4 linked regions of the Lonchura striata genome follow. The protein of the gene in region 4 binds, or shares a complex with, the protein of the main gene of each other region. Links are inferred from orthologs where the notes say so. Each region holds a gene or a part of one and is shown on either strand. Other genes may lie near its edges. The genes, in order: COA1, ACAD9, TMEM186 and NDUFAF1.

Region 1 (7,725 bases), on a different chromosome or scaffold from region 4:
GCTATTACTGCTGTGCAGTTGTTAAAAAAACCACCACTGCACCACAGCAGATGAAAGGATTCTGTCACTTATGACATTCTAATACCAGGAAGGACCCTCATAACATGCTAAAAGACAAACAATAAAATACCTGGTGATGCTTTTTCAAATTGCTCGCAACAGGCTCACAGCCTGAACTATGCTGAACTGATAACTTGAAATTTTACTAACATGTTCCAATATTCTTGTGTATCAGGTTGCTTTTCAGAAGTATACTCTCAAGAACTTTCTATTCCTTACAATATGCTGAGCAGAAAAAAGTAAAACTGCATTTTCAAAGGGTTAGCTCCCACACTAGCCTGATGGTCATGTAACTGCTCCTCCCAGAATCTGAGACATAACATAGTCCTTTTCTGTATCCTCCTCAGTTACGCAAAATCACAGCTCAAAACTGTAGACTTAGTCACTAACATCAGCACAGAGAAATAGAAAAATCCAGCCAGTGCCTTTCTTTCCCCCTCTACCCTCCCACTTGCTTGTATATGCAAGATTTTCAAGGTAGGTGTTCACACACTTCACTTGTTGACTTGTGTTTTAGTTGGACAAGCAGGGAGATCTACACATAAAAGTTGTCCAAAGCCTAGAGCCTCCTCCTAATTCCCAGAACCACAAGCTAGGCTGCTACCAAACCATCCTCAGAGCTGCTCTGAGGGCTGTGCTGCAGCCTGGGTAAGGCAGCACAGGCACATGGAGCAAAAGCTGCTGTGCAACAGCAATGCTCACGCAGGGGGAGCTGGGCTGCTTAACAGACAAGATGCAGTCAGGAGTGCTGTCTAAAGATACAGAAGAAAGGCCAAGTGCCCTAACAGCCACACTGCTTAGGGAGGGTGTGAATGGGCCCATCTCTTTGTGTGAGCTCCAACTCTCAAGGTGTCTTAAGTGTAGTGAAAACAACCCCCAGCATCAGCTCTTCTTCCTGCTTGATCTTATATTGTGGTCACAGCAGCAAAGGTAAGGATGTTATTTTGCTCCTCTGGCATTGAGTCAAAACCCAGAAGTTTGTATTAGAAAAGTGGCCTGGAAAATACTGTGTTAACAGACACTCAAAGCCTCTGACTTCTGGGGAATAACCAGCTTTGAAGTAAAATACATTCAGCAATAATCCATGCACACTTCATTAATTTCAGAAATGCAACAGCGAAGCACTACTTAGAAAAAGCTGTAAGATACTAATGAAGGCTTTGGGGTTTATTTTTATTTTTAATCCCAAAAGCTCCTTATCTCCCTTCTCCATGTTTTTTCATTCAATTTACAGTAGTCTAAGTTAAAGCTCATCTAATAAAAAAATGACACATTAAGTTCGGCTAACCTCTTCATCCCCCTCTTGATAAGAATACTTTCTTCCTTGGGGAATAAATGCAACAACTTTACAATTGGTACATTGCTTGTTTAAGATAACTTTCCTTTGCACTTTGTGTTTAATGGAATTTGGCTGATCTGGGCTATTTCAGCAGTTAAATAATTGAGACAGCAAGGGCAGCAATTTTTGCCAAGTCTTGAATAGCACAAGGATCTCAAGGAAGAAAGGCAGCATTTTGTTATCTTTCAACATGCAGTCATCTTTCTCTACCACACCCCCAGTCAAGTTTGAGAACCCTTGACACGGGCCACTGCATGATATGAAACACCGGTTTACTGTTCAAATTTGAGTCAAAGCTTAGACTAAAAACAAAGAGTAGCTGCAGTTTAACACTGGATTTAAGTACAGGTCTGAGGAGTTGCTGCTGGAATGGAGGTGTTCATGCCACTTATCCCGTCCTGCTGCTGGGCTGTGCAGCTGCAGTGCTAGCCATGTCTAGAAAGCATTGATAACACTGGAACAACCAACTTTCAAAAAGCCAGCTGATCCCTAAGCCGGATGCAAGAGGTACAGCACGATGTACAGCTGTGCGGTGGAACAGGGCCACCTTGCTGCCGCAGCCCTCTATTACTCCAGCCTTTGAATCTCTACTAGGAATTTTTGAAATTTGTTTCAACACTTCAATTCATAAAAAAATGTCTCTAAAAGCAACCCAGACCACTCTTCGAGTTACATGCTCTCTTCTTGCACTTAGAGTTCATGTGAATGAGCAGAAAGAAACCAACTAGGCTGGAAAACGGGAGCAACCAGCGTCCCCGATAAGAAGGGACAGGGGAAATGATATTTGCTTCAGTGATCAGAGCAGACTTGAACAGGGAAGTTCCAATCTTTATAGAGAAACATAATAATCTCTTTCCTTTGCAGTGTTTGAACATTAGACCTGTTCAAGACAACCCAACTGCTTCACCAGCTGTACCTGAATAACAAAGTAAATCTGATTCCTCACTACGTGGATGAGTCACTGCAAACAACTTGCTTTATGTGGAAATCGCCCTACCCTCGCCACATTTCTCCGGGATGTGCTCCAGTCAGCGAGTTCCCCACAATACAGGGCACCGCGTGCCTGTGCCTGTTTAAGCAACAAGAGATCTTTCCTGCCGCAGCTCTGATTGCTCTCTGCGTATCAGGTTTTCTTTGTAGCTTCCTAGACAAATTTGCCTCGCACTCCTCTCCCGACGGCGGCTGAGAAGTATCTTAAGTACACGCACCACTAACAGGGCCGAGGGGAAGCGTGCCGAGGCTCTCGGGGCAGTGAGCGAGCCCCGCCCGCCTCACGGCACTGCCGCCCCCACCGCGGCCGCGCCGCTCCGCGCCCCGGTCCGGCCCCGCCGCTCCCGCAGCCGCCGCGGAGCTGCCGTGGCCGGGACTCCCCCGGTACCAACCCCCTCCCGCGCCTCTTTCCGCCCCCCGGGGCCCTTCTGCGCCGGCCCGAGCCCGCCGGGAGGGGCGGCGAGGCTCGCTCGGGTGCGGCGGTGCGGACGGGAGCGGCGGCCGGGACGCCCTGGCCGAGCCCCGGCCTCGGCCGCCCGCCCTCACTCACGGCAGCGCGGTCGCGTCGGGCTCAGGCGGGCGCCGTGGGGGCCGCCATGGCTGCGGCGCCGGCGGGGAGCGGCAGGGGGCGATGGCGGGAGGCGCTGCGAATGGCGGAGAGGAGGGGACGGTGGCAGGGCAGCGCCTGACTCGGAAAGATCCCGACCACACCTGAGCTTGCTGCCCAGATCTACTCTCTTCTGTGGTGATTTATTATTCCTTTATTTATTCTTTTTTCAGGACAAGGAACACCATAAAACCACTCTTGTGCAGTCAAAATTGAAAAAACCCAACAGTGTCTGTCCAGCAACCCCTAAAGAAAGTTCTGAATGTAATCTGGCCATCTCATTTCACACAGTGATATTAGCATTTAATTTAACCACTGCTGTCTTTATCACATTGTTCTGTGTAAGCTGTTGTCCCTGTTGCAGTTTATTTAAACAAGCTGTCCAACAATGTCCCAAAGCTCAGCACTTCGGCTCTGGTGTTTGTCAAGTGTGTGTGTGTTAGCAGTGCTGGATTACATGAACCTAAGCCTTGGCCCACGGCTTTGATTCATCTGAAATTAAATGATGAGTGCATCAATGACATCAGAGTGTGTTCTGCTGCTGTTCCTTAGTGCATCCTACCTGCTTTGATATTTATTGTATGCGTTCCCTGCCTGAGGTGAGTAAGGCATTATGTTCGGGGATATTGCAAAGCCAGTTTGTTCTGTAACCTAAGCAGTTTCCAGCTACTTATTTACACCTGTTGCATTACTGCGGTGATTTAGTGGAATACAGTCTGCTATTTCAGATTGTAAATTAAAACTGTTTCTTCCCACGGCACGCTTCTAGCAGTTTCCAGTCAACTTCTACAATCAGGATTTGGTTACATTATTGCATTGCTTTGTTGTTCCTAACAAAAAAATTAAAAAGTGAGAGGTTTCTATACAAGAGATGAATTGATTAATTCAGATGTTTAATTGATTCAATTAATTAATTCAAAAAATTGAAAAATGGGAAGGTTCTATATTGTAGCAGAATTGATTAATATAACTCCTTGCTAGGACTTGTAATACTAAAGAAATTGTGAAAGGCGAGAGTAGGCAGAAACAGTATGGAAAGACAATCAGCAGAACAAAAGGACATGCAGATATGACCAAAAGAGAGACAATGAGATAGAGAGAACAAAAAAAGGAGTGAAAGGCCCAGCCTCTTACACTCCTAAGAAGCCCTGTTAAGAGATTGTTTTCTATGCAAAGTTACAGCGTTTTTTAATTCTTTCTCTCATCCTACCTTTTCCTACATATCTAATTACTCTCTGAAAAAAAATCTATTTCATACATGTCAGACCTGAAGAAAGATTTTAGGCCAGAAACTTGTCCTCCGTTCTCAGCTGTGCCTGTGTTGGCCTACCTACCCCTGCTGTCCCTTTTTCCCGGTAATTTTGCAAGAACCAAAGCTGTGCAATACCCGTCCAACACTGGTGAAGCTTTATCGGTTCTGAAAGGTGCTTATTATTCATAGAGATCCCCTCTGCTATTTCCACATGGAAGGAGAGACATAAGAGAGACATAAGAGACGGCCAGCATAAGACACCAGTATTACTATGGCCATGCAGGGAGGGCTATTGGTTGTTGCTTCTTGCTGGGCTGGCACTTTCCTCTGCACACTTGTCAGCACCCTAGGGGCCCAAGGCAGGCTGGCCACGCTTCTCACAGCCACCAAAGACTCTGGCCCCAGAGCAGTTTGCCCCTCAGGGTGGCCCGGGGCTGGCTGCCTGTCCCCGGCCAGCTGCGCCTGGGCCGCTGCCTCAGCCGTGAGGGATGCAGAGCCGCGAGAGCCCGTGGCTCTCTGCTGGGCCGCACAGCTGAGCTCCCAGCTCCAGCTGGCAGGGCCTCAGCGCCCAGCCTGTGCCCTCCCGCCCCGACGGCCATGCCAGGCCCTGCTTGCTGCCCTGATGGTGGCACTCCCGGCCCCCAGCGCTCTCCAAGGGCTTCTCCTGGGGCACCTTCCTGCAGCCTCTCAGAGCCTGCACAAAACCCAGCAGAGGCCTGCGCTAGGGCTGCTTACAAGGGCCTGGAGGGACAGCACCAGGGGCAGCGGCTTCCCACTGACAGAGGGCAGGGTTAGGCTGGAGATGTGCAAGAAAGTGTGCCTCTGAGGCTGGTGACAACCTGGGCCACGCTGCCCATGGAAGCTGAGGCTGCCCAGTCCCTGGCAGTGTTCCAGGTCAGGTTGCATGGGGCTTGCTGCAATGTGGCCTGGTGCTGCAAGGTGTCCCTGCCCTTGGCAGCAGGCTTGCAACAAGACAATGTCTAGGGGCCCTTCCAAGCGGAGCCATGCTGTGATTCTGGGATCAGAGGGGGGTCAGGGGCACGTGGCCTTAATTGCTGATTAGAACCAATTCAGCACTGTTAGTTTGGTTGAGTTCGCAGAGACTGTTCACAAGCCCAGATTCCCATCGGGTGACTTTTACCAATACTATAGGTGTGGCTGAGAGCAAGAAAGTCTCGCATGCTCCAGATTCTGCAAAACTGCCTTTTATTGAAACAAGAGCACAGCAGATCCTTGCTTGCTCGTCATGCATGCGCTAACTATGGAGCATTACTACGCATCCAAACAGATCTATTAAATACTCAATTTATATTATTCCACTGTCATATTCGTCATGATGATTTTTTCATTCTATAACATTCCACATATTTGATAAACATTTAATTCTAAACATATTGTATAAAATTACTGTTTTGTAGTAAATACAATATGTGTGTGTATAATACATATTGTATACATATAACTGTACTATCAAAATCTTGCCTCCGAAAAATTCAGTAACTACAGAGTATGAATATGTGTCACAAGAGCCACAAATGACTCTGACATAATAGTGACATCATATACTTGCTATTTCTTTTTATAAAATAATATGATAATTTTAAAGATATTGTATTAAATTACTGTTTTGTAGTAAATACAATATGAGTATGTATAATACATATTTTATAAATATATCTGCATCATCAAAATCTCGCCTCTGATAAATGCAGTAACCACAGAGGATTAATATGTGTCACAACAGCCACAAATAACTGTGGCATAATAGTGACATCCTATACTTGCTATTTCTTTTTTTAAGATAACATGATCATTTCTGAATTATCGCTATAATATGTATCTATTAAAACACATCTGTTAGTAAAAATATTTGTATCAATATATACACACTATAGGTATATAGACAGATATCTATCTGTCTATGCATCCCATTCATTCCTGTCTTTGTCATGGAGCTACAAGCTGGTTCTCTGCCACCAGCTGCAAGCCCCGCGAGCACACGCATCCAAAGGAGGCCAGCAAGGCTGGTGAAGGCTTGGGAGCACAAGCGCTGTGAGGAACAGAGCTGGAGTTGTTTAGCCTGGAGAAATGGAGACTCAGAGACAACCTTGTCACTCCCTCCAACTACGGGAAAGGTGGTTGTAGTCAGGTGGGGGTTGGTGTCTCTCTCCAGGCAGCAAGTGACAGAACAAGAGGACACAGTCTTTAGCTGTGCCAAGGGAAATTTAGGTTGGACGTTAGGAAAAATATTCTTACTGGAAGAGTGGTAAAGTACTGGAATCGTTTGCCTGGGGGAACTGGTGGAGTCACCATGCCTGGATGTGTTTAAAAAAAGGTTGGATATGGCACGCAGGGTCATGGTAATAGCTAAGGTAGTGTTAGGCCATGGGTTGGACTCGATGGTCTTAAATGTCCCTTCCAACCTAGTGATTCTGTGATTCTCTAATGCTGTGATTCTACGTGCCCCGCTAGCAGCGGCCAGAGGCCGGCACTCTTGCCAGGCGACGGCACAGATCAAGGCCTAGGGGTGGGCAGCCAGATCCTGTGGCAGGCCGTGGAACAGGTTGGATGGCCTAGCCCTTTGTGTATCTGGGGGCAAGCGGAACTCCTCCGGAAGCCTCTGGCTGCCCACTGTAAAAGGCTCCAGGGGTTTGCCTTCCAGAGATAAGTGCAGCTGCTCCAGAGCATCCGACAGCTGCAGCAGGAAATGTCTCCTGTGCCTCTGCGACGCCGGTACGGTGCTCAGCAGGCGCGTGACATTGGTCTTGATGGAAGGGATGGAAAGGGCCTTGCGCGCAAGAACACGGGCAAGGAGCTGCAGGCATTTAAGGTGTGAGTCGTCCTGGGGAGCCGGCCTGGCCATGCGCCTCAAGAACTTTGTCTCTGCCACGCTGTAGGTCTCGGGCCACGTTGTGCTTGGGGTGTGGGCCCCTCGATGCTGGCTGCTGATAAAGATGTCTGAGGCGTGTTGCTGCACCCCAAACAGCACCTTAACCTGGAAGCTTTCTTGGCTGTTGCTCAGCCTGAGCTTGCAAGAGCGTTTGGAGGGCAGCAGCTCTAAACGCCAACTGCGTGACTGGGGCAAAAGCCGCCAGTTTTCTTCCACCAGCGCGCAGAACCACTGGACAGTTTTCTCCACGTCGAGGTAGGAGCCGGTGCACAGCGTGTCTAGGAGGTTGGGCTGACGAGTCCTCCTCCTAATCACGTCAGGGTGGTGCTGGAAGCACAGCATGTTCGTGCCCTGGTAATCCCTGGGGCAGCTGCACTCCAGCTCCACAAGGACACGGAAATTCCTGCCAGGCTTCTGCTGGTCGGTGTCACGCTCCAGGTGGAAGATGTGGCCTTGGGGAGGAGTCAGGGGCACAAACACCCGGTACACAACTTCCTCCTCACGGGCGGCCCAACCTTCAAAGGCACTGCCAAAACCAATGGCTTGTTGCAGCACCGGGTAGAAAGTCCCATTCAAGGCACGCCCGA
Region 2 (7,335 bases), on a different chromosome or scaffold from region 4:
ATGCCAGTCTTGTAAATTTTCAAAACCATTTGTTCGTGTATTTTGTGCCTAAAGGGGGAGGATCTTTGTTTCTACTCTTCTTCTTTCTGTGCTGTTGCAATATTACATGACCACTCACAAATTTGCAGACTGCCAGCATAGCTTCATGAAAAAAAAAAAAAAACAAAACCAAAAAAACCTCTCTATATATTAGTAGTGAACCACAGGGGACATGTCCTGAGCAATTCCTCTGACTGCAGGAATTTGAAATCACTTTGGAAAAAAGCTGATGAAAAAGCACTGGTGTTTTGGGTCATCTGTTTCTCTTCCCAGATCTAATAATTAAATAATTATTTAAATTAATAATATAAGTATTTAATACTATAAATAATATAAATAATATAATTAATTAATATTGTACTCATGATTATTAATGAAATGTTCTTGAGCTCATGGGAGCTCCTTCCTTCTCTCCAACATTACAGTGTGATAGAGCTTATTTTGGCAAAGAGGTTCTTGACCCATCTCCCTTCTGTATTCATTAATAGTGCCAAGATGTGCTTTATCCAGTTACTGCAAGGTCTTTTTATAGCCACAGCCTTGTCCCCTCACTCATCGCTGTCACCTGTGTGTGACACAAAGGCAGCACTCTCCAGGTTGCTCTGCAGCTCCTTGGATGCAATCCCACAGGAACAGCTTCTTTCCTGCACTGAGCTCAGGTTATCTCCCCTCACTGAGCCAGAAACTTGATTTCAATAAATGGTTTGGCCCATTTTCCCTTGCTTGAAAAATTAACTCTTGGCTTTTAAAAAAAATTATAATGTGAAATAAAATGTAAAATACTTCAAAACATGAGGCAATTTAGTGCTTCCTTTTAATCTACCATGGCAGAGCTGATGGACAGTTTCCCTGTAAGTGCCACATGACGTTGTGAGGAATCCCTCTCACTAACAGAATGTATATTTATTTTTCAGGTGGTTTCTTAGATGGCCACAGTCCAGTCAGTGTGGATGGACAACAGACTGGAGAAATTTATTGATGTATTTATGCAGCGACTGCGTTAACACCTGGGTTTCAAACACATCACATCACTTCCACAGCATGTAACCAGGAGCAAAAGTGGAAATACCAGTTCCTGCCCTCACCTTTCCTGGGATTTCATTTGTTAACCAGCTTTATAAAAAAGTACTCCAAGTCAGGAGGTGATGCAATGAGCACATCATCACACGCCTGTGGGAAAGACGATTATCAGTGTCAAGTGCAAAACTTTCATACCATCTGTCAGGTTGAACAGGAGCAAACAGTGATTGCATAAAGAGAGGAGGAATTTTGTGTATTTTTCTGGAAGTGCTGCAAAGCCTGGTGAATGTTTTTGTAAAATAATTTAGTGACATTTTTTCAGTAAAAAAAGAGCTAAATGTTGCCAGGTCAATTTATTATTGAATAACAGTTTTTTAAGCAGCTGCTGGAAAAATATGGAAGAATAAAAAGGTAAACTGAAGCGTAATTTTATTGTAGTCATTTACTGATCTTTACCTCTCTTGCATTAATTCCTTCTCAGGAAGGAATTCTTCCACTTCTTTGTGAAATGGGCTGAAATGGACATCACTGTGGGAGTTGTGGTTGTTCACAAAATGTGAGTTATGAGGAGCTGTAACAGCTGAGGGATTAGCTGGCCCAGGAAGGGAATCTGAAATGATGTGAACACCTGGATGAATATCTCAGTGGCAGAGACAGCAGAGAGGAGCCATAAATAAAAGTAGGGAAAGCAAAAGGCTAGACGTATTGCTGAAGCAGAAGACAAAAATACTGATTTTTATCTTTTTCAGTAGATGGTGCCGCTCTGTGCAAGGCAGTTTGAAGATGTATCAGGTCAGGATGGGGGAGTTCTGCAGAGAGCTGCAGCTGCCAGGAGTGTGATTTCAGTTGTGGTTACACACAGCACTGGAAGGGACAAAATCTGTGGTGTGGCACCACTGGTGCTAGCGCAGGAACAGAGGATTCTCTGTGCCAGTGATGGTCCACCTGCAGTTTTGTGCTGTGGGTGTGATATCACCCCCTGTGACTGGAAAATGCCAGGTGTTTATTTATTTAGGATACGCTCACAATGCCATCCTCATGCTTGCTGAGTGAACACACAGGGTGTGGCCACTGCCTCAGTTCTTGTCAGCTTCCTGATGAGGCATCTTTTCCCTCTGCTTCCCAGCTGCCCGGCCTTGTTTTCACTGTTTGGATCATTTTCTTCAAGCAGTTTTTACCATGCTCTGTTTATCCTTTCTTTCAAGCTACCACATCACCCCTACATCACCAGGATTTGCCTGACTTGTCTCAGGAGAGGGTGGCCTCAGTTTAGCCCTTTCATCACTGATGCTGTCTGGGAGGTGCTGTGGGACTTGCACCTCTCTTGACCCCCCCAGGAAGATAAAAAAACTCTTTTTAAAATAATTTTTTATCTCTCCTGCCCAGAGCTGGGATGTAGCACTGGTGCCACCCAGGTCCCCTCAGAGGGACATCGTGTGGCTCTGCCCCATTAACCCCACGTGTCACAAGGCTGAAGCTTTTCCCCTTCTATTCATACCATCAACCACCTGTGGATACCCTCTGGAAGCACTGGCACCTCATCCTTCACCCCAAAGATTGCGAAGTGCTGCACCTGGCTCAGCGTTCCCCGCCCATTGTTTCCTGGTAGGATTAGACATCACCTCTTGCTTTTCCACCCTTCAGAATGAAAAGAAGCAGGATAATGTCCCTTAACCACAGCTGAGCACATCCTTATTTTTCCTGATGCCTCACTCTCAGCCCTTCTTATTCCCTACTTGCAGTACAGTCAAGAGGCAACCAACATCGCAATTTATTTGGGTTACAAGATTAAACGATTTTCGTTTTGTGAGTCATAAGTAAAGAAGCAAAATAAGTAAGTTCATTAAGCCTGTGTTGTTGCCTTCAGATGAAAAGGCAAGGTGACCTCGTTTCAGGGGACAGCACGGCAGCCTGGCCTCACCCGGGCCACTCGGGCCACAGACATGCACAGACACCAACGTGGTGGATGGTCAAATGGCGCTATTACCTTATCCTGTGAGGTTAAATAGTCAAGGGGGACTTTGCTACATCAAGGGAAGAAGGTAGGGTCTCTAGGATTAGTAAGGAGTGGAAAACTACTGCGTTAGGTGGGGTTACGTGTCTTGGGGGTAATGGATTACATATCACAGGATGAGGGGGAAGGGTCTCTCTTTCCGTCACATCCCGAAATCTTCCATTCGCCTGTCCCTATCTACCACACTGTGTTTACTTGTTCTTTTTGCAAATGCCATTTTGTCACATTCTGCAGTTCCACACAGACCAAAACAGACTGAAGGCAGGTGGACATGGAGATGCCTAAAATGAAAATGCAGCAGCAACCTTTAAATGGCTTATTTCTTGTGAAATAAATAGTTCAAATAAATTTTCTACCTTTGAGTAAATTAAGCTTAGCACGCAGAAAGCCCTTGTGTGCCGGTGAGCAGTCCCAGCCACCTGCAGGTGAGGCAGCAGCTGTGGGGTGGCACAAACCTGACAAACGTGATCTCTCGAACAGAAGGGGAGCAGTGAGTGCTTCTCAACCAGATTTCAGTGAGCATCAGTCATTTAACACGGGTTTGGCACCTGGGTTTTTTAAAAAGACAAAACCTGCTGCCAGAGGGATGGCAGGGAACGCAAGGAGGAAAGGGGATGCTCGGTGCAGGGCAGCAGGTAAGTCTTTGACATTAATGTGTGGAAAGGGCTGCAGGAATGCGGGGCCGCTCAGGGGCCGGCTGGAGCTGCCCACACCATCCTGCTCCAGCTCCTGACACACGGAGCAGGAGGACTTGGGCTGGGATTTAGGAGATTTTGGGGCGATGTCCAAGCGCTCCGTTCGCAGCTCAGCGCGTCCCGCAGCTCCAGGCGGGGACGCAGCGACCCCTGCCTGTGGAGCTGCTCCCGCCTGGCCACGCCGCTGCTCTCGCTTCAGGAAGGCGATCCAAAGGCACCCTGGCTGCACCAAGAGCTGCTTCCCGCTGGGGCCGCGCGGCTCGGCAGGGCTGCCGGGCCGGGCCGGGCCGGGCCGGGCCGGGCCGGGCGGAGGAGCCGCGAGCGGCGCCGCTGCCGCGCCCGCGGTGCCGGCGAGGGAGGCGCCGCCCGGGGGCGCTGCGGGGCCGTGGCGCCGAGCCCGCCGCGGGCCGGGCGGTGCGAGCCCCGGCGGGCGTGCCCGTCCCCGCCCCCGCGAGCCGAGCACCGCCCGCTGAGGGCCGGGCGCGGGGCGGTGCCTCCGGGGCGGCGAGCGCGGCCATGAGCGCGGCGCTGCGGCTGCTGCGGGCCCTGCGCGCCGCCCGGCCCCGGGCCCGGGCCGGCCCCGCCGCCCGCGGGCTGCGCACGGCCGCGCCGCGCCGCGCCTTCGCCAAGGAGCTGTTCCTGGGCACCCTGCGCAAGGTGGGGCCGGCGGGCAGCGGGGAGGGCGCGGTGGGGCCGGGCTGGCCGGGGGCGTCGCAGCAGCACCGCCAGGGCCTCTCCCCGCTGCTCATCCCGGCCCGGGGACGGTGTGGGCCCGCGGCAGGCCCGGCCTGGGCCGGCTGTCCCGCAGCCCCGGGGGCCAGCCCGGCCCGCTGCCTCCAGAGCTCCCTGCCCTGGCACGGGGGGGACAGGAGGCGTCTCTGTGCGTGCCCTGCCCCTCAGCTGGAGCCGGGCGAGCCGCAGGGACCCTTTGCACACCAACAGGCGGTGTGCTCCGAGTGCCGCCCGCCCGCCCCGCAGGTGCCCCGGACACCCGCGGGTCGCTGGGCACCGCCCCGGGCGGGCCGCGAAACCTGGAGCGCTTCCTTCTCTGGGTGTGCTTCAAGCATCCAGGCCTCACGTAAATCTCTGCCTACGGTTTTGACAGGAAAGATTGAAATGCGTGTGGTGTCTTGAGATGACAAAGAAGTTAAAATCTGAGACAGAATGCTGTATTAAGCAGTTTGTTATTGTAAGGCTTAGAGTGTGCGTTTACCAGAGATTGCAGGGTGAAGTAAACTGAAAGAAGGAATAACTAAAATGCACTGAAATGAGTTGAACAATAAATTCTCCTGCAACAGAGCTTGTCAGGTAAAGTGTTACAACAGGCAGCACATAGGCTCCACTGTGTTAAAACACTCTTCAGATAAGTCTGGGCGTTTTTTTCTCAAATTTCAACACAGCAGCTTTCTGAAAATCTCTGGCATTTCCCAGTTCCTGAATTTTTGATGCTGATATTATTGCTCAGAGTACCTTGGACAGATTTGTGTGGTCAGAGATAAATTATTCTGTTTAAAAGGACAAAGGCAGTAAAAACCAGAAGTGTGCTTCTCACATAGCCTTCCACTCCTTGTGTTCCTTGCTTGGATTTTTTACCAATTCAAACCTGCCAGGCCATGCTGCTCCCAGTTCATGGCCAGAACACCCTGGGGATGATAAGGAGTGGTGGGGCTCACTCACCTTTGTCCTCGAGGCATTAACAGGTGAAATGTGCTGGGTGTTTGCAGGGGACAGTGTTCATGGGCTGAGCTTTGGAAACATTAGCACAGCTCATTGTTTTTGAGACAAATTAAACTGATTTTTTATCAATCCATAAATAGGGTTACACTGACAAAGCTCAGGGGTGATGAGGGATTTTTGCATCCTTGTAGTTCTTACAAGATCTCTTGATTTCTCCCTCATGTTTCTGTTGTTCAGGTAACACACTCTGGTCTGGTTTTGATGTGTAATAAAGTTGGGTCCTGGGGAGCTCTGTTTCTGTTTCAGAACATTTTCCACAATTCTTAATTTTCACAGTGTTTTAGAGTCTTTGCAAGGCATGTCTCTTGTAGTTTTTATTTCAACTGCATAGTTCATGTATTAAAAATTATTAAATAATTACCCTATTTTAGGAAGAAGTTTTTCCTTACCCAGAAATTACCAATGAAGAACTGGCAGAAATCAACCAGTTTGTGGGACCTGTTGAAAAGTTCTTCAATGAAGAAGGTATATTGTTATGGTTTTATCCATGCAAGTGATTTAATAATTAGAAAATTATTTGGCTGTAGCAGTTGAATACGATTATTATACCTAAAACATCTAATTTAGTTTATGCATTTATTGCTGTCCACTTAGTGATGCTGATTTTGTAGGATGTCCATTTATGGCTTTTTTGGGAAGTATTTGGGTGCTGATCAGAAGAATTAAATCTCCAAAACAGGAAAAAAAACCAAGAATGTAAAAGAATTCTGGGATAAAGATAGGATTTGAAATCAGTTTTAGCTCAGCTGAATTATGCCTCTAACCATTTCATATATTGTGATTTCTTTTTCCTAATTCTAGTTCCTAGAACTTCTTAACTGTCCTACTCTGCTAAAACTGACTGTGACAAAATGCAGCAGAGAGACTCAGAAATTGAGGAGTTACAAAAAATGAAAAGCATTTCTGTTTTTTCAGCATTAGAGTAATAATTCTATTTGGGAAAGGCCTTACTACCCATCTGCATTCCAGAGAGCGTTGCAGGGTGTTCCTTCCATTAGTGCTGCCATGGATGAACCAATTCCAGAGCAATTGCAGAATCCTGGTTTTCACAGACAGCAATTTCTGGGGCAGTTAAACAGCATTGTCTCAGACTTCCCATTGACAGAGGTTTTCCAAACAGTGTAGGAGTTTGGAGAAGCCAGTGACTGTCACACATGACAATTTGTGAGATCCAGGTGATTTTAACTGGAAAATTGTAATGTTGCTCACTGACATTAAATAAAACATTTATTAAAATTACATTTTTTAATTCTTTGCTCTGTGGGGGAACATGATTTATGGAGTAAACAGCCTGATGTTTAGGAGAGGAATAAAAGGGTCAAATTATGGAGTCTGGAGAAAATATGATTCCTGTTTGTTTTCACTGCCATGGTACAGAACAGCTCTCTTAATCCCCCAAGAATCTAAAAACTCCTAAGAACAAAACTTTCTCATTACCTCATTTATGTCCTTTTTTTCCCCTTGTATTCATGACCTAGACTTGGTTCAGATAGAAAATCTTGGAAATGCTTTGCTTATTCCCGTCTTAGAATCTGCTAACCTGCGGAAATAGTAGAAATGTTTGAGAAAATGAAATAAATGCTGGATTTTTCCCACTTCCAAGTCTTTCTCCTGATTATGTCATGAGGACAAACAGGAGGGTCATGCTGAAGCTAGAAAGAAGAACTTCTTGTGAAGCTGGGGATGAGAAGTCTCATGAGTGACCTTAGCCCTGCTGGGGGAATCATGCAGTCTCCCAGCTGCTCTGGGCACTGAGAAACACCGTGTTAAATGAGAAAAAATTCTGCATTTGTAGTGGACTCAAAGAAAATCGATCAAGATGCAAAAATC
Region 3 (7,162 bases), on a different chromosome or scaffold from region 4:
GACTCCCAGCTGGAGCAGGTGTCCAAAAGGTATTTACAACATAAAGGAGAGCTGCACTGCAGTTCACTTTTGCCTTAGTGCTTCAGCACTAATGCCAACCATTATTTGCAATTCTGAAAAATAATCAAAGGCAGGAGTGTGGTAATATATTAGAAGAGACGGTGAAAAAGCAAAATGCATAAAAAATTAATTCCCCCTTATTGTATTTTTTTTTTCCTTAAGCTTGCACTTGCTTTTGGATTCTTTCTTTTCTCCCACACAATGCAGGTATAGCTGAAGAACCAAGGGCAACTGGAACAGCACTGAGGGAGTGGTTCTGATCAAAACTGATTCACAGAAACCACTCTGACTAATCCAATGCATCTAATATCCTCCAAAATGAGCAGAATCAGTCACACAACTGACATTAAAGGACAATGAACTGATGACAAGACATGAAGTGCTCTTTGTTGATGGATTTCAATTAAAATGTCCCAATAAAAACCTGAGAGGAAAAAGAGGCTCAGTCTTGCAACCACCCCCAGAGAGACCTGTCAGACAAATGAGATGGGATGTCACAGCCATAAGAGAATATGACTTAAATGAAATTTAAATTGATTGATATTTTAAATGACATTCTTTTAAAGTATTACCTATTGAAAATGTGAGGCCTTTGCCTGCAAATTCTCTTTGTAGATCAGCTACAAATTTCTCTCTTATATGCTCCTTCTGTTAAGGAAAAAAGAAAACAAAACCAAACAACAGTTACATGCTGTAACTGTGTTGATTTACCAATGAAAAGATAACCCAAAACCACCTCTAAAAAAGAATGGTTTTATTGATTTGAATGGACCCAGGCTGGTTACACTATAGAGGAGAAAGTATGGTTTTACCTAGGACAGGGTTTTCTAGAAACCCCATGAAGCAGGATGTTCAGTGCCTGGATATTGGATTAAAAACATGAGCCAAACCCACCCTTCTGCAAGTAATCCCTGCTATTCCAACAAAAAACCTCACACTGTCTATTTCCTGAGGTCTGAATGAGGAAATTAGTTACACCATATGGAAAGGATTTAAATTACAAAAAAAACTTGCACAAATTATAAAAGTTTTTAAAACTGCCTTCTCCAGGAGAGCTGTAACTCACTTTATCAAGTTCATAGAACTCAAGTCGTTCTTCCTGGCTGCAGCTTCTTCCAATGGGGGACACATTCAACATCCCATTTCGGAACTCGATGAAAGTGCCTCTGCAAGGGAATTGATAACAAGACAGAAAATAGATGAGAAAATTTGCTCCAAACACTACATAGCACAATAAATTTCCATTTAATTCTAAAGGCAGTGAGAATCACCTGTCTCACTACTGGTACCTCTGGCACCAGTTAGTCTTTTGAACTTTGAATATGGCAACCTCCTCATCATCCTTACTGGCTTTTAGAAGTCCCATTTGGTTTAACAAGTGTGACTGGAGCATCCCATCAAGCTCAGAGCCTGACAGGCCAGGCTGTCAGTGTGGGTGAAGCTGCAGAATTCACAGCAATGTGGGCAGTGTTCCACCCAGCACATTTCAGTGTCTGCAGCAGCTGCACCTCACACATCACACAGAGCTGGTCTGGCTGCACTTCTCATCTCTGGAAAACACTATGCTGCTGAATTCCAAACATGGCAAGGGAACACTCCTACTTCAAACTGAATCTCCTTCCCTCTAACACAAAAGTGCCAAATTAGTATTTCAAGCCCTGTACTCCAGCTGGGAGCTTGTCTTTGTATGCTTGGACAGAGCTCTGTTTCACACACACAGTGCTGTTTCCCAAGCAGAAATTCCTCTTTTTTTTCTTTTGCTGAGCACCCTGAGCTGAGCTTTATATGCCCTATGGAGAACAGGGTCACGCTGAGATGTCTGTGTGCACATACCTCTTTTTTGGCAGCTTAATCTTTGCAATGTAACTCAGGCAGTAGTTGATGACTTCTTGAAGGATGTCCTCGCCCAGGTGGCCCTGAATGCTCTAACAAAACAAACACCATTCAAACAAGGGTCCAGAATTTGAGATTCTAAAAGCAAGTCACAAGGAAAACACAGACATTGGGTAATCAGGCATGGTTAATACCACAGAAGAACAAACATGCCTTCAAACAGTGACATCAGCTGATGCTCACATGGTACTAACTAAAGGCTCTCATTTTGCTTTTTGTTCACTTTATAACACCAAACTGTCCTTTAATATGATCCTACTTGAACCTGCTTCAGAAGAAAACTGTGCCACGGGCAGCAGCCCTGAACAAAAAGCTGCATTTAATGTCTGTTACAGCCAAGAATGAAGAAAAGGAGCTTGTTCCTGCAGTAAACTGGAACCACTGGTCAAGGCAGCAAATTTAGCCAGGATCTCTTTTAAATGTTTACTCTCCATTACTTATGTTAAACATTACATGCCAAATGAATGATCCATTAACAGGACTAACATATGAAAGCAACAGCAATTTTAGTCTTTGAAAGGGTGATTACAGAGGACTACACTGTACAAATAAATCAAAATCTTGTTTAGAAAATTTCTTTTTCTCACTATTGGAAATTTCACACTTACCTGCTTGCTCAGGAATTTCCCATCTTTGTATGCTACAAGGCCATTTTCTGAGAACACATAGTCATATTTTTCAATCACTGCAAACAAGCAAAAAGACAGTAACTCATCATTTCCCCTCAATGCTTAATGCAGAATTGTCTTAAATGCTAAATTGGTTAAAATACAGCAAACATTAACTCCTAAAGCATGAAAAGTTTCAGCAGCATAGCATCAAGCACAAGATTAATGCTAGTCCCATTCCTCACTATGATCAGCACACACCTCAGATCACGTGAAGTCATTTGTTTGACTTACCTTTGGTTTTACTTAGAGGCATATGACTCTTTACATTAAGTGTAAAGGAATGCCCAAACACGTGGCACATGGCCTGGCTAGAGAGCAAGTCAGATACTGCCCTTTAGGTTTGTTTCCTCAGTGTCACTAATCTTCAGCAAATGTCTGGGAGTTGCGAGTCTCAGCACTACACAAGATGATGATGATATGGTTGACTGGAGACCACTTGGGAGGCAAACGAACTCGGCTGTCTGGGCACTACAGGAGTTATCAGTGGCATCAATTGAGTAAAGAGCATTAAGAATAAAGGACTAAGCTAAGGCAAGAGTGCATCGCTGCATCAGAACCCCGCACTGAACAAAAGCAGGTCCTGAGGGAAGTGCTGACAGCGGACAGCCACGCGTGTATGTCACACACAGGACTCCACTGTACACACAGTGTGAAAATGCCCTCCCAAGGCTGCCAGCGAGGCAGGATTTCACCATCAGCAACAATCCCTTAATTTGATCTACAGACAGCGGTGCAAGCAGGCTGCGATTCCCAAGGGCCGGTTCGCAGCTCCCCACAGCCTGGGTGCACCACAGCAGCACCAGGAGCCAGCTAAGAGCGAGGGAAGAGGGGATGAGGAGCTTCAACCTCCAGCTGCCCTTCACCGCGGCCCGGAGCGCGGCCCTCACCGTCCTCGCCCAGCTGCTCGCGGATCTTGGCCAGGTCCGAGCCGCCCACCACTCCCACCTTCGCCTTCTGCCGCAGCCGCTGCAGGAACGCCGCCATCTCCGCCGAGATTTTCTGCGGTCCAAAACAGAGCGGTCAGCCGTGCCGGAGCCCAGCGCCTCCATCCCGCCACGCCGGCCCACACGCGCTGTGTCCGCGGCGTTCCGAGAGCCAAGCGCGGACACGCCGGGCCCCGCGGAGTGCCGCGGAGTGCCGCGGAGTGCCGCGGAGTGCCGCGGAGTGCCGCGGAGTGCCGCCCGCCCCCCGGGCTCGCAGCGCGGGCCGCACTCGCCTGCCGCGGCGGTGTCAGGGTGCCGTCCACGTCGAACAGGCAGAGCGCGGCGGGCGGCGGCGCCATGGCTGCGCGGGGCCGCGCCTCCCGGCGGGGCCGCGCCTCCCGGCGGGGCCGCGCCTCCCGGCGGGGCCGCGCCTCCCGGCGGGGCCGCGCCTCCCGGCGGGGCCGCGCCTCCCGGCGGGGCCGCGCCTCCCGGCGGGGCCGCGCCTCCCGGCGGGGCCGCGCCTCCCGCCGGGGCCGCGCCTCCCGCCGGGGCCGCGCCTCCCGCCGGGGCCGCGCCTCCCGCCGGGGCCGCGCCTCCCGGCGGGGCCGCGCCTCCCGGCGGGCCGCGCGCGGGGCCATGGCGGCGGTGAGGGCCCGGGCTGCCGGGCGGGCTGGTCCTCCTTCTTCTCCTTCCTTCTCCTCCTTCCCCCTTCTCCTCCTTCCCCCTTCTCCTCCTTCCCCCCTTCCCCCCTTCCCCGTCTCCTTGCCTTTCGCCTTCTCCGTCCCGCTCGGTGACGGCTCCTCGCCCGCGTGCTGCGGCGCGGCGGGGGCAGCGCGGAGCTTCCCCTCCTGCCTTTGCTCTGCAGTCCTGCGCCTTCCCAGCGTCTGCTCCCGCTCTCCCGCACCGTGCTTCATTTTTCTTTCCTGTTCTCCTAAATCTGCGGTTTAAGGGGTTATTTAGGGAGTGGGCGGTTTCAGCAGCTTTCCCTGGGCTGTTGCTCAGACGGCGAGAGGCAGGGGCTGTGCCAGGCTCGCTCGCTGATAGCAGCTGTGTTAGCGAGGATTTCCCTCGGTCTGCAGGGAGGGATGCGGGCACAAAACCAGTTTCCTGTCAGAGCTCTGGTTTAAGGTCACAGTGACCCGGGGGTTTGCTTTACTGGCTTTAGGCGCCCGAGTGACCAGCTCTGAGCTCTCAATTGGGCTTTAAAGAGCACTCAAACGATGACCTGTGGGCATCTTACCTTACAGGCTTGGCTCTGCACTAGGACTAAAGCCTGCACGGCAGCAGCTTTTGGGAGATCTCTACAGAAGGAGCTCTGGACAAGGTCGTGGAGAAGGGAAGCTGCTCGCCGGCCCTGGATTTTTGGTTCGTTGGAGTGTTTGCAGTCACAAACCCAACGAGTTGATGGTGTCAGTAATTATCTCAGGAGACCGCGAGAGCCGCCTGTGTGTCTGTCCCACTCAGCCCCTGCTGCAGTGCTCCAGCAGAAGGCTGTGGATGGGCGGACAGAAGAGTTCAAACTGGTCTACAGGTTCCCAGGGATAAAATACTGCAGGGTCCTGTCAAGACTGAAGCTGCTGCAGACTGCCACCTCCATGGTCATGCTGCCTCCCATCTGCTACCTCTACCTGCAGGGCCAGGTGTCTCAGAATATCCTCCTCTATACAACTGGCATCGCTGTCTTTGCTGGGGCAATGTTGTATGGTATGAGCTACTTTTTCAGAAGAATTATTGGATTCATCTACTTAAGTGAAAGTGGACAAACTGTCAGAGTGGCCCACTTGACATTTTGGGGAAGACGTAATGATATTTACTGTCCCATAGAGACAGTAGTGACTTTGGATGAAGTTGGAGATAGCAAGGACGAGCTACTTCACCAGTTCAAACGGTATAACAGTACAGATACTTTGTATTTTACAATTAAGTATGGCCAGATTGTAGACAGACAGAAATTTACTCAAATATTTGGAGAATTTGTGTGACACAGCACCTCATTTCCACTGACTGTCCATGTTCATTGTGCTTATTGTTTCATGAGGTTTAAGTAGTTTACCAACCTACACATCCCTGTCCTTTTCCTGTGCAAAGCCTGCTGTAAGTACACCCAGTGTAGAAAGTCACAGTGGTAAGGCACAGTCCACTGGATTAAAGGTCTTGCAGCTTGTATATGGTGTGAGGAGTGTCTGTTCCATGTAGGATTCAGTAATGTCACAGCATTCCAAGCCTGGACTGTCCAAATTACTGGAGCTGACCCTGGCTGTTTCATTCTATTGGCCTCTTTGGTGGTTATGAAGCATGAAAAATCTCTTGAAACGAAATGCAGGAGCTGCCAGAGCATCCTCACTTCAAACTCAGTGTTTCTTTTAGCTAATTTCAGGTTGGCTGGGAAGCCTTTGTAAATTAAAGCTGGTCTGGTACATCCATAGGATGGGTACAGCTGAATGTCAGAGAGGGACATGCTCAGGTGTTAATGCCATTGAGAGAACTGGGAAGGTGTGTGGGCTGTCCTGGCCTCAGGAGGGTCCTCCAGGATGGGAGTGGAACTGGGCAAAACAAGGGTGTGGGCTACAAGAGACAGTGGCAGCTCAGCTGGTAAGTTAAAGGCAGGGACAATATTTCAGGAGCCTCTTACAGAAATTGCCATTCTTCATTGGAATGGGAAAAGCAGCACCTGTCTCCATGAAGGACTGTGATTCCATGGTACTGGTATGACTTCTCCTTTTCCAAAACCTCAGTAGAAATGAGGAATTTAAACCCAAGAAAGAACCAAACATATCACCTATAACATGTAACACATTTTTTTGAATTGTCAGAAGCAAGATAACTCCTTACACCCCTCTTCTAGCTTAATTTGAAACTGGCAAATAAACTGACTCTCACCAATAGTCTGGAGTGTTCTTTCCTTATTTTTTCCTCATATGGAGTGAAACCTCTGTTTCTTGGCAGATCAGCAAAGGATCAGTTAAGTAAAATTGCCATTTAAGTGCACAGGGTAACCCTGAATTACTATTTCTAACTTTAACTTTTCCTAGTGGGGTTCTGTGAGTTTAAATTTTGGCTGACACTGTCTAGCACAGCAGTATCAGAAGAAATCCAAATGTTCCTCGGTGTAAACACCATGGCAGCAAAATACAGTGGGCTGTACAGGTATACTGCAGTTTTTGGAGGTTTATCTTCATCAGAATGTATTTAATATATGCACTAATGGTTCAGTTTAGTAGTGGGTGTAAAAGAAAAAGCCCTGGAGAAGATCAATTATAAATATTTTATTTAAGAATATTGATTACACATGATTGATGTCATTTGTTATGAATCTGTGTACAGTTACTAGTTACACCATGAAGTGTACTTAAGTATTTGTTTAAACATTTATTTGGCACTGTCTACAGTATGCTGTAAACAATATTAACTTTATATGCTTCAGCTGTAGTGCTTTCTATGTATTCTCTAACGATTCATCAATATGTTGTACACAATTATACAGTTACTGAGTGTCAGTAAAAATTATAAAAACACCTAGAGTAGTCATAATAAAAGTGAAGATGTGGTAAGACTTCAAATTACTGGACCTTTGCTTCTGTAAAAGTACAAGACTTGCTAGAGACATTCACTAAA
Region 4 (7,059 bases):
ATTTATTTTAAAAATGCCTCAGAAAGAAAATTAAACTGCACACTTATTCTTCACACTTATTGGAAGAACTCTGCTACACTAACAAAAGCTTTATAGTTTATCATTGCCCTACCCTGTGAGTCTGCAAGTTGCCACAATGGATAATGCATACTTACTTTAGAAGAAAAAAATACAAAAACCTACACAAAACATCTCCCTGTCAAATTTTTAAGAATAGATTGAATAAATGACCTGACTATGATTTGCAGAAAGTGTGAGAAAATATTTGGAAGCTTTCCAGAAATTGCTTTTACTCAAATACCTGTATAACATTTATCAGTGCCTGTTTTAATAGGATTTTTTTAGATTTTTCTTTTCTAGATGCACAGGCTTTTAACCAGCTCTAGACTGTAGTACCAGAAACAAATACTAAAACCAGAACCAGCAGATAAGCACTGTTTTATAAGAAATTGAGAAACTTTATAACAAAGTAATGCTGAACTCTTCCTTGCCTCTTTCTTCAAAGATGTTGATCAAAACACACCCTGTTGCATATTCAAATGGCCAGACAGCTAATTCACAGCACAGTTCTTGAAGAATCAAAGTAGCTAAACAGAACAGTTTTGCTACCTGTAAAATAGTACTACCTGCCTTAACTCTTAGGAAGGAACCTTCACTCAAAAGGTGAAAACCTCACTCCCGGAATTCAGAGTCCAGCTTTAGCAGCTTCACTGCTACTTCAACAGCAGTCACAACACAGGAAAAACACTAGTTTAAAGCAGGCAGCTCACCACACCATATGAACCTGAGATTAAACTGGCAGTCACCTTTTCTATAGACAGACTATTTTGTATACAATTAGAATTCAAAACATTTATTTTTAAAAAAAATTCTCTGGCCTTAATGAGTCTCCATCATTTATAGCCAGTCCCACCTTATGAAGTCAGCAGCCTAAATATACTGTATGATAAATACACTTTCACTGCTTAGGTATGATCAAACAACCCATAGCAATCTCACTGAAAACATGATAAAGTCACCTCATCATCACTGTCTGATGTCTCAGAGTCTGAAGATGCTGTAGGTTTGCTCACAGGTGGTTCCTTTTCTTCAGAGTCACTGCGTTTCCGTTTGGCCAATGACAGGAGCTCCTGGTGCAAAAACACACAGATTTATTTCAAAGTGTCGCAATTAGTTTTAACAATCCAGGTCAGTGCACATGCAGGTTCTCCACAATATCTGAGCACATCTCAGTAGCAAGATTATTGCCACCAACTAAGGAACAAGTCTACTTATATTTCATAAATATACATGTGCACACACAATTTTAATACTGGATGCTACAAAAGGATTTAAAAGATAACAAGCTATAAAAAAATAACTATTAGTACCATTACTTTCTTGGCATAAACAACATAAGACAAATTGCTTTCAGAGTCATGTCCAGATTTGTCTTACTTGGATTGGGTAATAATTCAAAATCACCCTAACTACACCATCAAGCACCAGCCCTAAAAAGCCAAATACCAGCAGATAGCAGCTTCTTCTCCTAAACAACAGAGATGGCTGCAATTATACACTTTAAAGGGGAAATGCTTTAGGCATCACTTTTACATCATGGTTGGTAATATTTAGTCAGCCTGTTCAATTCCTCTTCACTGCTGGTACACACCTCAGAAAGCACTTAAAACTTTCAGACACAGAGCAGGGATCAAGCTCCAAGTCTGTGAAACTTTTTGAGAGTTGTTCTGCTCAAAAGCACTTTCACAGGCAACACGCACCCACACAAAGAACTACATGGCTCAAATACTCTCATCATCTGCTGTTCATCACTTGTTCAGGTGACACAAGCAGTAGTATAAAACAAACATTTTTGAAGCTGTGTTACTGTCTTTGCAGTCCAGGACACAGAATCTATTCTTAGAAACATTACTCTGGGGCTGATGAGTATTAGCTGTGTGTAGAAATACAGCCACACCAAGTTCTGCAGTCTTGGGAAGTTGATGCTGGATTGGTTTCCATTAGTTTCACAACTGAAAGATCATCTCAACAAACTGATTAAAATTTACTATCTCAAATGAGAACATAAACACTGCAGAAACTGACTACCTAGTAGGTCCAGATCTAGTATGTCAAAATCCTAGACCTAGTAGGTGTGCCTACTTACCAACAAAGACACTTTTCATTAGTTCATTAGTAATGGCATTTTACCAACAAGCCTCTAAAGAAGCCCTGCAACATCAATATAGCATATTTGTACAATCAAGAGATCTCTGGAAGCTCCTGAAGCTTCAGCAGTGCTTCTCTTTGGGAAGCTCTTGAAGAGGAGCACCACTTTAAAGCCATATTCCATTTTCTTTCTTTCTTTCTATACTTACTTTCTGTTTTCCAAGATACTATATTTAGGAGGCTGCTAGTCCTTCGATTCAACAAGCCTAGACTGCCATGGGAAGCTGTCAAACATATAATCTACTTAACATTTAACATTTAAGTCAGCATTTTCTCATCTCAAAAACTTCCCTCTACCTGATCTTCATCTTTGCACACACACCTCCCTGCTGTCACAGTTTCTACCAACAGCCCAGTGGAGCAGGAAGCACCAACTACTCAGGTACCGCTGCAGATGCCTGCTGCCAGTGAGGGATGGAACAGATGCAGAACCACGTGGTTACTCCTGCCACCATCACTCCAATTGTCTGACTGATGCTAGAGCTAGTCCAACTCCTATTTTCAAGTCCTAAAACTATCAAACTGATGCACTAGCAATGAGATGTTGGCAGCACTAAGGACTCTAAAGGTATGCAAGATCAACCACATCAGCTCCTGTGTATTTGTTTTAATGGAGTATCAGATCTGATATTTCTGAAGCCCCAATCTGCAAAAGTATTTTTGTGCGTTTGGGAAGGCTTTTTTTTGCAATATAGCAACAGCTTCTATATCAAAAACTCTGAGGGTCCAACACATAAATTACATCAGACATGTCGGCTTCAGCATATTCGACCCACCAAACTTCTCCCCGGAGCAAACACTGCCATACAAGCTGTAACACACTTCACCTATAATGTCTTTATTTACCACTGGAATAATACTATCAATATCTGCTACATTAAAAAGTGAATTTTGAAAGCAGCCCGCTCCAAAGAAGGAGACACCCCCTTTGCAACCCTGACACGCTTGAATTCACACCAGACATCGCACTTACAATCCCGGGAGATGCTGTGATGACAAATAAATACTACCCCTGCTTACATCTACAGGCTGGTTTCCCATCAACAGAACTCCCCAGCGCAGTCACCAAGATTGAGAGGGTCGCATTAAACACGCATTTAACACTCCGGGAGCCTGCCTGCCCCGAGGAGAGGCAGGGACCTGACACGCTGTTCTCCCGGCGTACCAAAGTAGCATGGAAAAGTTGCCCAGCCCTTTGGGCCTCTTTCCCCACTACTGGAGGTGAGAAGACCGCCGGCAGCCGGGCCTCGCTAACCCCTCCTCAGGGCCAGACCGCCCGGAGCATCGCCCCGGGGCATCCACGGCCCCGCCGTCCCGCCGGCGCCGAGCACCGGGCCCGCTGCAAGGAGCCCCCGCGGCGCGGGCCTCCTGCCAGGGGCGGGCCGGGACCCGCCGGAGGGGCGCGGGCTCTCCTCCGGGCGCCGCGGGCCCCATCGGGCTGCGGAGGGCGAGAGCGACGCGGGACCACCGGGCGGGAGCGACGGAGGGATGGCGGCGCCGAGCCCCGCGCGGGCGGGCGAGCCCAGGCCCCGCGTTCGGGCCTGCCCGCGCACCTGGTCCAGGTTCTCCTCGCTGCCGCTGTCCTCGGTGTCGGAGTCGATAAGGACGCGGCCTTTCCGCTTCTTCACCATGGCGGAGCCGGCGGTGCCCCCTCCCCGCCCCGGCGGCGGCGGCGGCGGCGGCGCTCGCACGGCCCGGCCCGGCCCGGCCTGACCCGCGCCGCCCGCCCGCCCGCCCGACACAAAGGGCACCGCGCATGCGCGGCGCGCGGGGCGGGGCGAGGCGAGGGCGGAGCCGCGCGCTGTCCCCGCGGCCGCTGCTGCGGCGCCCGCGGATCCGCGCGGGGCACGGCGCGGCCGCGCCGGCACAACCGGAGCGGCGCAACCGGAGCGGCACAACCGGAGCGGCACAACCGGAGCGGCACACCCGGAGCGGCACAACCGGAGCGGCGCAACCGGAGCGGCACAACCGGAGCGGCGCGCAGCTCGTTCCTTGGCCGGCCCGGGCGCGGCGGACCCGGCGGCGGGAAGGTGAGGCGGTGCGGGTGCCGGGGTCTGTCGGTCGCGGAGCAGGAGCGGCGGGGCGGCCGCTGTGCAGGGAGGGGGCTCGGCCGCCGCCCCGGCCTGGCCTCGCCTCCGCCCGCCGGGCCCGTGCGCAGGCCGCGGCGCGAGCGGGGCCGCGCGGGAGCCGAGCGAGCCGCCGGCGCTGCCGGGCCGCCACCGGCGTACACTGCCAAGGCCTTCCGAGGGACAAAGGCCGGGCTAGCGCAGAACGTGTTCGGGTTCTCCGTTCTCTTGTTGTGCTCGGCGAAGCAGTGAGGAGACAGGGCTTCTTAAGTGCGAGCTTGCTTCCGATCGCGTGAAGTGCACGACGGAGAATAAAGTGAATGCTAAGCTACTAAAGTGGGAATTCTAAAAGCTACTTCAGTGTCGCTTTAGGCAAAACTCAATTATTAGAGTGTGAGGTAACAGTAGTAAATTTTACAGTGAGTAAAGGAAGGTGAGTGACACACAGAGGATACAAGTGGGGTGCCTGACTCCATTCTTAAAAGCTCACATAAGTTGAATGCATGTGACATCATTTTTGGTTTTGTTCTGTGGCATGAAAAAAAAACAACAAAAAAACCCCCATCTAATTTTACAAGTAGGAGAAAATAGCCTCTGTACAGAGCATTGAGCAAAGTTTTCCTGAAGTCTTATTAAAAAAGAAAACATATTGAATTGTAGTCTTTCATGTTAAACTTTTTGGTCTTTGCAAATCTCTCTATAATCCTAACACAGGTATATTGAGGATGACTTGGAAGAAGAATGTGGTATGGCTGCTGCAGGACTTACTATTTGAAAAGTCATCTGTTTAAGATGAGGTTGTTGTGTTTGTCTGTGTGGCAGCAGCGTCTGCCTTTTGTGAATTTGTGATTTTCATGCAGGAATAAAACTTTTTAGTTATATAGATGTCATCTTTTAGAAACCTTCACGGGTTGTTTTTGGTGTTATCTGTAACACCTAAACCTACTGGTGGAAAGGATGAGGATAAATTGATTTTCTTTTCTATTTTTAGTTTTATTTAAATTAGTTTACTTGGGTTTTCTTACTTGCATGGGGCTTTCACACCGTGAGGACAGGGGAGAGCGTAGGGTGGAAGTCAGTAAGTAAACTCAAGCTCTGAGGAAGTGTCATTCCTGATGGTTTTTTTCATTCTGTTTTCCAATGACTTGGGTTTCTAGCTAGTATTGATTATAAAAGTTAAATAATTTCACAAGCATCCTGTATGTAATTTTTTATAGCCTTTTCTCTTCTTCATTAAAGGTGAAGATCAACAGTAACTACAATAAGATAGCTCTGAATACTAGTTTTGTTGTTAAATTAACTTTCAATCCATTAATTGCCTTACTGGATGTGAATTCTTTAAGTTACCAGTATGGCTCTGGCTGTGATGCTGCTGAATGGTGCTTCCTTCCACGGTGGATGCTGCAGACCCAAAGTTTTGCTCTCTTCACTTGGACCTCTCCTCAGCAATTCAAAATTGTACAGCAGCTACAGGAGGCCAGGGGCAGAGCCTGAGAAAAAACTGTCTTGGCAGAATGCTGATTTCAGCTTTAAGAAGGCCATTGATCACCTAAAGACTCAGCTAAGCTTGCTGAAGAAGGAAACCCAAGACTACTTAAAAGGACCTGGAGGCCATGCTTTAAGTCAGCACTTGTTGGAACAAACAAGGGTGTTGTGGCAGTTTAGGAGCCAAGAAGATTTAAATAAATGGGTTATTTCCTCTGATGTGGAGATTGGAGGGAAAAGTAAAGTTTACATCAAATTGGGCAGGAATAACCAGGCTGCTCTGCTGTATGGAACCCTCAATACAGAAGTGCCTCGTGATGGGGAGACACAATACAGTGGATATTGCAGTATGAGATCCAGACCGGCAGTGGTGAGTACAGCTCTGTTTGCACAGCTTTTGATGCTGAATCTGAGGGTGTCTGTGGAATCCCAGTGACAGCAAGTGGCCTGCTCTTTACTGCTGATCACTTTCAGGAGTACTGCATTTTCTCTCAGACATGTAATTGCTACTGTGCCCGCTTTGACCTGGAAGGAACTTAAATTTTTTCTTGGATTTTGTTTTCCTTTCTTAGATTAGGAATAATGCATATTTGATCATTTACTTATGTACAATAGACAGTCTTGTTTGCAGCATCCTTACAAATGAGGGATCTGGAATGAATCTTTATATCCAAAATTGGTATGATTAAAATAGACATGTTTCTAAATTTGAAGTTGGTTGAATGTATCATAAGGAAGAATTTTCTGGGCTTTAATTTGGTCTATTCATCAGACTTGGTTAGGGTGAATTAACTCATTTTCTCACAGGAGCAGAAAACAATGCTTTGAAATGTACTTTTTAAAGGTCTGCCTCCTGCTGTACATCAGAAAAAGCAAGACACAAATCTTTGATAGCTCAGAATTGAGCAAATTAGGGCCAGAAATGGGTGTGCTTATTATGGATACTGCTTGTTTCATCCCTTATTTCTAAGCACCTTTAAAAGCATTTTCACACACTGGATAAAATCCTTAAATATTTCATGTGTTGTTTGTATCTTGGAACAAGTACTTAGGTAGAATAATTTCTGGGCCAGAATCTTCGGGAGCAGAGAATATGAGTAAGCAAAATCAATGGGTAAATGAGAGACATGAACACTGATTAAAATGGTGACACTAGATCAGATGTCTGGAACAACAAGTGGAGTCAAGTTAAATTCTCAGGACTGCTATTGACTTGTGCAAATGTGACTCAAACTTTCACTTCCTAATTCTGAAGTAGTGGAATATATTAGTCCATCTTTATTTAAGTAGAAAGGCTCAA

The links.
Region 1: NDUFAF1 (region 4) and COA1 share a complex: the UniProt entries of both Homo sapiens proteins name them as parts of the mitochondrial complex. The link is inferred for Lonchura striata from reciprocal best matches to the Homo sapiens genes NDUFAF1 and COA1.
Region 2: NDUFAF1 (region 4) and ACAD9 share a complex: the UniProt entries of both Homo sapiens proteins name them as parts of the mitochondrial complex. The link is inferred for Lonchura striata from reciprocal best matches to the Homo sapiens genes NDUFAF1 and ACAD9.
Region 3: NDUFAF1 (region 4) and TMEM186 share a complex: the UniProt entries of both Homo sapiens proteins name them as parts of the mitochondrial complex. The link is inferred for Lonchura striata from reciprocal best matches to the Homo sapiens genes NDUFAF1 and TMEM186.

The regions. Positions count from the first base shown.
Region 1 is NC_134603.1:105,060,035-105,067,759, forward strand, and holds the start of COA1 (cytochrome c oxidase assembly factor 1 homolog), read right to left. Parts: upstream 3,020-7,725; 5' UTR 2,940-3,019; intron 1-2,939. Other genes in the region: inositol 1,4,5-trisphosphate receptor-interacting protein-like 1, read right to left, coding at 6,770-7,725. UniProt on the Homo sapiens protein: Component of the MITRAC (mitochondrial translation regulation assembly intermediate of cytochrome c oxidase complex) complex, that regulates cytochrome c oxidase assembly.
Region 2 is NC_134614.1:2,419,996-2,427,330, forward strand, and holds the start of ACAD9 (complex I assembly factor ACAD9, mitochondrial), read left to right. Parts: upstream 1-4,320; 5' UTR 4,321-4,425; intron 4,426-5,876; 5' UTR 5,877-5,970; intron 5,971-7,300; 5' UTR 7,301-7,335. UniProt on the Homo sapiens protein: As part of the MCIA complex, primarily participates in the assembly of the mitochondrial complex I and therefore plays a role in oxidative phosphorylation.
Region 3 is NC_134618.1:6,718,277-6,725,438, reverse strand, and holds TMEM186 (transmembrane protein 186), read left to right. Parts: upstream 1-4,161; 5' UTR 4,162-4,183; coding exon 4,184-4,192; intron 4,193-4,313; coding exon of another isoform or gene 4,314-4,461; exon of another isoform or gene 4,462-4,642; intron 4,643-4,794; coding exon 4,795-5,529; 3' UTR 5,530-7,100; downstream 7,101-7,162. Other genes in the region: PMM2 (phosphomannomutase 2), read right to left, coding at 633-708, 1,127-1,226, 1,894-1,985, 2,562-2,638, 3,570-3,623, 4,314-4,461. UniProt on the Homo sapiens protein: As part of the MCIA complex, required for efficient assembly of the mitochondrial complex I.
Region 4 is NC_134608.1:37,470,798-37,477,856, forward strand, and holds the start of NDUFAF1 (complex I intermediate-associated protein 30, mitochondrial), read left to right. Parts: upstream 1-4,039; 5' UTR 4,040-4,238; intron 4,239-5,513; 5' UTR 5,514-5,625; coding exon 5,626-6,129; intron 6,130-7,059. UniProt on the Homo sapiens protein: As part of the MCIA complex, involved in the assembly of the mitochondrial complex I.